2 linked regions of the Oreochromis niloticus genome follow. The protein of the gene in region 2 interacts with the protein of the main gene of each other region in a pairwise test. Links are inferred from orthologs where the notes say so. Each region holds a gene or a part of one and is shown on either strand. Other genes may lie near its edges.

Region 1 (3,752 bases), on a different chromosome or scaffold from region 2:
AACTTATTCTCATAAATACGACCCGCCTCAAACGCCTCATGGAAATTTCATCAAATTTTGCACAGATGTTTAATTGGACTCAAGAATGAATTAATACTGGTAGTCAAAGGTTAAAGGTCACCGAGCACATTGTCAACCATAACCAATTAGAAGAAAATTTCGCATAAATGCTCAGCAGGGTAAAATGATGACATTTAATATAAAAGTGGCAACTTGACTGATACGTGCAGTTTTTTCTGACATTGTGGTGCCTAAAATTTTGGCCACCTTATTATGTAAACAAACACGCAAGCGAAAACAACAGGAAATGTGACAGTCAGCGATCCGGATACCTACAATCAAAACTCTCCTCTTGAGGAAATACTTGCAAATTAGAGCTTGTATTAAAAGAAGCATCCAGCTGCGTCGAGACACTAACCCCATACTGTGTTATTTGCAACTTTCAACAGCATGCCATAAAACATCTGTGTGGTATGAAAGGTGCCCCTGACAAACAGGAATACCAGTGGTCTCTGGATGACCTGGGAAAAAGACCTTGGCTGTACATTTGAAGATGAGTCATGGGAGAACATCATTTCTAAAAGGGGGAAGTTTTTCAGGGAAGCCGGGGGCAAATTTATCTGATATTAAAAAAAAAAAAAAAAGATGACTACACTCCTTCTAGACCACACAGAAGGGTTTATTTAAGGATGCTTTATGCTGAAAATATATGTGCATGCATTGTGGGAAAATTTTTTTTCTTTCTGGAGAAATGTTTTGGATTACATGGACCGTTATAGTGCTAGCATTAAAGAACATGAGGCATAAAAACCTCAGCATGAACAGAGCTACGAGGAGCTGGGAACTCTAAGACACAAGGAGCGCGCGCACAGCCAGGGAGCTGACGATGTCATGACAAGGAACAAAGGAAGACTGAGGAATTGAATTCACAGGACAACAAGAGGAAGGGCAACAGGTGGAAACACAGCTGGAACAAATCTGAGTAACAGAACAGGGGAAGCAAAACTGAGCATAACACACATGAGACGAGGCACTGTCAAAATAAAACAGGAAGTGACATACACATAGCGACCCAGACGAGGACATGAAAGCTTGACAGTAGGATAGGAGGTAAACGGACACGGAAGCACGTGACAGAGTGGGGAGACAAAGAACATGGAAACAGGTACAGGAGACACAACGCAGAGACATGACTAAGACACGGAGAGAGGGAGAGGAAGACATAAGACAGGCTGGGGAACCTAAGGAAACGCTAAAGACAGAACACAGAGACGAAGACTATGACAGACGGGACATGACAACAAGACTGACATCCACAGGAGACACCGAGGACAAAACACAGGGACGAGACATGAAAGGAAACTAATATCAGACTCTGAGACCCTAGAAAAAAAGTAAACTCAAGTCTAAACCATACAAAACTAAAACTCTTAATCATTTTCATCACGCAAAGGAAAGAATAATGAATTCACACAAAACTTGACCCAGGTACCATGACAACAGGAGATTCCTACCACAGCTGAATGAGTCTATAATGGGAGGAACGATGGTTGGGGAACAGATGATGAACACTTCTGCCTGTGAGAACTCGTTGGAAAGGCTTAATTGTAAAAATGAGACAAAATCAAAGCATAACTTGATATGGACAGTCTGTACTGGACGTTTGGCAAATAAATGTCACCCAATAACTTATGGTACAAACTGTCCTGTGTGCCTCACTCTGTGTCTGTCTTGTTCTGTGTTTTTCTGTTTATATCTAACTCAATAAAAATTTGGAATTAGAAGACAAAAAACGATCCTCATGAGACGTTACACCAGATTACTACACCAGATTTTCCAAAAGCTGAAATGGACATGAAGTGGTAATTCAAGGAACCGGATAAAATCAGAGTATAACACTGCAGAATGAGGTGGTTTTTATCGTCCTTGTTACATTTAGCCATGGGACAAGTCCCAACAATTCTGCACTGGATAAATGTTCAAAGACAGCGTGATAAAGAGCTGAATAACTTTAAACTACTGTAGCGAATACTTCTTTGTTTCCCCAAAACAGAAAAACTGACAGTTTTACAGTCATTGCATCCTTATTTTCTACATTTCTAGGAAAAAGGAGGAAAACATGGAGAGCAGTGAGGGCACGGTGCGTGGTGTGGTACAGCAGCATAATTATGACTGAAGTTTAAAGAGTTATGACGGTCTGAGATCGACACTCTGAAATCTGGAAGCATCTAAATTGAGAGAATGCTGTCATATGCATCGCCAACAATCATCATTTGTTCCCTCCCCCTCCAGTTTGTGCCCCCACCCCAAATTCTTCCTGTTCAATGAACCAAACCCATGTTTTGTCTTTTTATCCAGCAAGCACACACACACGAAAAACACACACCCTTCACTCGGCCTCTCCCTTCTCTCCTTGTGATTACCTCTGGTTTTGACAGCTGGCGAGCTGGGCGGTGTGTCGCTTAAGGCTGGGGAGAGGTAGAGATAGCTGGTGTTGACTCCTTGTTCAAAGTCAAACGGAGAGCGGTATTCCTCCAGAGGGTCCATGCTTTATTCTTTACAGCTTTCAGCGCGTTGCCGACCGGAGCGACTACCACCTCCTTTTTACCAGCGCTACCTAAGCAGAGCCAGCCGAGTGCTTATTGCTGATTGTTTGCATGTGACCCAGGCGCGTGCTGCTTGTGTCCGTTTCCTTCTTTGCTAGACATGCGGAGACACACTCGAGTGTCCAAGTGTGTGCATGCACAAGGAAGGAGGTTTTGTATCGGCCCTCAGGTAGTCACAAGGTGAGAGTGACTACAGTGATGCCAATTTCTAAATATCGGTTTCTGTTTGGGCCAAGGTGTTGTGAGCCCTTTGCTCTTGTCTTGCTGTTAATAAGTTACCTGTCCCCTCAAGCAGCTGTTGTAGCCAGCGCGCACACACACAGACACACAAAAAACACACCCTCCCACTTCCTCTCCACTATAATCCCAAAGGTCAGTTCTTAGTCCATCCTGCAGACCGTGTGCGCCATCGCTGTTTCGGGTGCCTAGCTGCTGTTGTGATACCGCACGGTACTCCTGTTCCAATACTCTCGGGTTCCACCGCCAGTTCCCGCCCTCCCTCGCTTCCCAGCCTGTCAATCGAGGAGGAAATGAGAGCGACCCCATTTGTGTGGACCGGTCATGTGATGTGATTGTGTAGGGGCGCATTAGATGAAAAGCATAATCTGCAGTGTCCCAGATTACAGCAAAGCTCTAATCCAGGGTGGACAGTCCAGCTTGAAGCAGCGGTAATGCTAGTCAGCTAGAAAGGAGAAGAGAGGGTGCCAGAGGCTACGCGAAGTGGTAGAGGGAACAAGTGCTACTGTGTGCCTGCCACAATGGCATTCTCTGAACTAGAAAGCTCCTGTAATGCAAGACCTTCATCACATGAAAACAAACTCTTTTAATCAAGTTTTTCTCGCCTGAAAGCAGACTTTGTGCCGTGTCGTAACACAAAAGAAAGAGCCGTGACATAAAGCAGGTATTTAGGCTGCACAAAGAGAGGAAAACATAAGCGCAATTCTTGTCACATTTCAATCAAATGTGCAAAAAGCAGCGTAGATGGCAACATATTAGACACTGAAGCTTTCAAGGTTGCACTGAAAGCAGCACAAGTTTTATGACTGTGAACGGACAGAATCCCTGAAAGAGCCGGAGAGCATTGTGGAAGGAGGTACAAAACAAACATCGGCTAGTTTAAACATTAGAGTGAAGTCGACTCAAAGC
Region 2 (3,752 bases):
TACAGGCAGGTCTTTGTTGTGTTTTAGTGTGAGCTCATCATCCATGTCACTCATTGTTCAGATGAAAACAAACAACACCACAAGCCGCTCTTGGGGCGGGGCTCAGAGCCTCGGGCCAGTGTGGCTCTGTCTGAGAGCCCAGAGTGGACACAGACATGAGTCCTTTATAATGACAACACAAGAACAAGGCACAACTTCTGGCATTTTTACTTATATTTAAACATTATAACATAGTTATTGCACTAATTAAACTTTTTTTTGGCTTCCTTTGCTGTGATCTATATGTTTTACTTCAATTTGAATGCTCAATGCTTTGATCCAGTCCTGGTTAGCATCTTCAGTCACGTGTCTTTAAAATTTGCTCATTTCACTTTAAAGCGATTGAGTGATTGTAAAATGAAGAAGTTATCTTATCTCAGTGGATCTCAGTGGGCCATATAAAGTGATGCATAACCCAACAAGGGAATCCATAAATCCTACGAGAGTCAGGGTAAATACAGCATAAATTTGTGAACATTGCATTGCCTTTTGTCATTGATTCAAAGCCCTATAATATCTTGTGTCATTTTCCAAGTTCTGTAGTGTGCTAAAAATGTAAACAGTTCACAGAGGTGGCACAATATCTACAACAAAAACAAAGGAATGAACATTACACAATTTATCTGCAGTCACACTGACAAAGCCTATTAATTTACCTGCAATAAAGGAGACTGTATTCAACAGCTAGCTCAACCAGCTAAAGAGAAAACTGACAACAACTGTGATACTGTATATTAGTCTATTGTAATACAACAATGTGCAATGGTCTAAACAGGTTTACTGACTCAACTTTAAGAGGGGAGTCTTTGTTTGATATGTAGACACTTCAGTACACCAGTTTGATAAAACATGACAGACAGGAAGCTTGACAAACTAATCTATCAACAGCTTACCAAGAAGTTCCAGTCCGTATTGATGCGGTCAGCCAAACCAGTGATGAGGAGAGCGAGGTAGGCGGAGGAGAAGACGAAGGTGGTTACAGAGACAAACATCACCCAGCCCTGCAGCAGGGGCACCGGCACATTGGACGAAGCCACCAGGATCCATACTAGACCACCAAATAACTGAGGACACACACAAGAACCTGTGTTAGTGACGGACGCAGTTATTCCTATATTTTTTTCACTGCATTAGCAAGGCTACTTTGAATGAGCCTGCTTCTATCCACTATCTCATCTACTTGCGTCACAGTGTGCAAATTCCTTAGACCATTTTCTTTTAGAGGTAACATGAGGGCAGCGAGTCAGCGGAACATATTATTTTATACTACTGCATCAGCTGGTGCATTCTTTAAAGTGATTTAAATGATATTGTAATGTTCTTTTGAAACACACCCTGAGGCTACAGTCACTTTTGTTTCTTGACAAAAGCAACCTGTTGCATTGTTTTCAAGGTACAACAAGTTTTAAGGCAGACTATGAGGATGCAAATGTTGTTGCTGCTTGGAGCATTTGGATACCGATCAGCAACAGAATGTAAGTCAAACTGCCATAGCTACAATGATTCATTCTGGAGAAAGACTGTCATTATCAACAGTATATACTACAGGTTTTATTCAGTGGAAACACCTTTAGCATTAGCAAAGTTTGATACCAGTCACAAGAAAACATTTGGCAGACTGAAGGCGCGTTTAGTCAGGCTGTATATGCGATAGACAATGAGTAAAATAACCACCAAGATTAGAGGACGCATGTAAAGGTGGAGTTGAGGTCACCTTGCCGAGTTATAGAATGCACTTCATTGCAGATGCAAACAACAAGTTATCTGCTCACTTATTAAAGTCTTAAAGTCATAAATAGTTCGTAACGAGATAACGCTCGTAGACCAGCAGGGTTACAGAGCTGCTTGTAAGGAATCACCGTGACGAAGAGTCACAGTGCGTAGCGCTGACAACGACACCGAGAAAGAAAAAAGGGGGAGAAATGGCAGGAAAAAATCCTACAAGTAAATGTCTAACTGGACTTTAACTGCAAGAATCATCAATTATTAATAAAGACAAAGTGACTATATACACACACACTGAGGTCACCGATAAATGTACAAATAAAACCAACAGGTGCACCTTTTGTTCGCTCTCTCCTTTTTAAATATAAAAACAACACTTACTATTTCTAAACAGAGGAGGGCTCCGGAATAAGTCCTCAACACGCCCAGTCCCAAAGGTAAAGTAATAGTTGCCGTTGGAAACGAGGTGGCAGCGGGGTTGACAGCGGGGTTGGCGGCTGGTTCCGACATCTCTCCTGTTTCTGTCTTCCCCCCTTTTCTCTTTCCCTCTCTCTCTCTCGCCCTCTCGTCTCCCACTAAAAAGAGCCCGTTAAACAAAGGACCGGGACAGCGAGAGAAATTCCTCAGGCGTCATATGTCCCCCAGAACAGGTCGGACAGGTGCAGGGGCCACTCCCTGGAAGACCGTGCTGCGTTCAAGGACATCACGGAAGTTTGTGCGCCCAGAGCCAATCTTTCACTCGAACGCCGGTGTTGTGCCAAAAAGTGATTGTCTGCCAGAAAGTGATTGCCGTCCGCGGGAGCGCAAAACTGGCTATTTGGCTCATTTTGAAAACAAGATTTGGGTTATACATGCAGTGGTTCAAGCTGAACAAAAAAATATTTACAAATAAATACTACTTTCACTACTATTACTACTACTAATAAAATAATAACAGTGAATTAATCTCACAGTCCGGGCAACAAATCACTTATTTTAAAAGGAAGTGTAAAGTTCTAACCGATATGTATACGCTATGAATAGCTATATTAAGAACAGAAGATAGAACACAAATAATCGTGTGATCCAGCTTTGAATTATTACTTTATGAGACACGGGATAGACTGTAGCTGTTGCCCAGAACAAGTAAATGTATTTCTTCATATACAAAAGACTGACAAGTGGGTTTGACTCAATAATAAAAGAGCTACTGTTATGTCCGATTTCTAGTTGCATTTAAGTTTGTACTGACTTTCAGAAAGGTCATAAAATGCTCAAGGGTGTGTAGCCTGGTGATGATACAACCATAGATAGGTCACTCCTTTATTTCTTTAGTTTGTTCATCTGAGTTTTAAGCTCTCCACACCCTCATTGTCAATTTCACATATCTCTGCTGTTATTAACGAAGGTAAAGGTTAACGCTCTTATTGCGATTTAGATAAATCTAACGCAAAGTGAAGGCAGCAATTTAACACAACGCTGAATCACTCTGTTGGAGCGCTTTACTCCCTCTGTGTGAACGGCCACCGGCAGGCAGACACCACAGCTATTAGAGTATTAGGGAGAGGCAAAAATCAGATAGCTGGAGTCATGACTAGACACTCACTGATCCGTGTTACAAAAGAAATATGGGCTAAGAAGCAGTAGTGCAGGTACTGGTTAACCTTCATAGTGCAGGAGGAAAGAAGCTTTAAAAGTAAATATTAGTTTAAGCAATGAAGTAAGAACCGAAGAGATAAAAGCACTGATTTCTAAACCGACACACACTTGCTACAAACACAACTGAAACGACGAGTTTTGATGAGTAATTTGTTGAAATTGGTGGATCACAAGGTTGTTATTATCAAGAAATGAAAATGCGGTTACTGTGGATGAAAAGAGAAGGTTCTTTTGAAAAGCCACTGTTAATGATTAGCCAGGATTTGTGTTATGTGAGCCAGCGCTGATATGACCTCTAAAAAGGCACTATTCACTTCAGCTTGACTCACAGAAGCGGCCCGAATAAAATT

The links.
Region 1: the proteins of mal2 (region 2) and tpd52 interact in a two-hybrid assay, tested with the Homo sapiens proteins (2 studies listed by BioGRID and IntAct). The link is inferred for Oreochromis niloticus from reciprocal best matches to the Homo sapiens genes MAL2 and TPD52.

What each region holds. Positions count from the first base shown.
Region 1 is NC_031985.2:20,700,509-20,704,260, forward strand, and holds the start of tpd52 (tumor protein D52), read right to left. Parts: upstream 2,872-3,752; 5' UTR 2,548-2,871; coding exon 2,424-2,547; intron 1-2,423.
Region 2 is NC_031976.2:8,402,763-8,406,514, reverse strand, and holds the start of mal2 (protein MAL2), read right to left. Parts: upstream 2,478-3,752; 5' UTR 2,275-2,477; coding exon 2,146-2,274; intron 1,104-2,145; coding exon 933-1,103; intron 1-932. UniProt on the Homo sapiens protein: Member of the machinery of polarized transport. Required for the indirect transcytotic route at the step of the egress of the transcytosing cargo from perinuclear endosomes in order for it to travel to the apical surface via a raft-dependent pathway.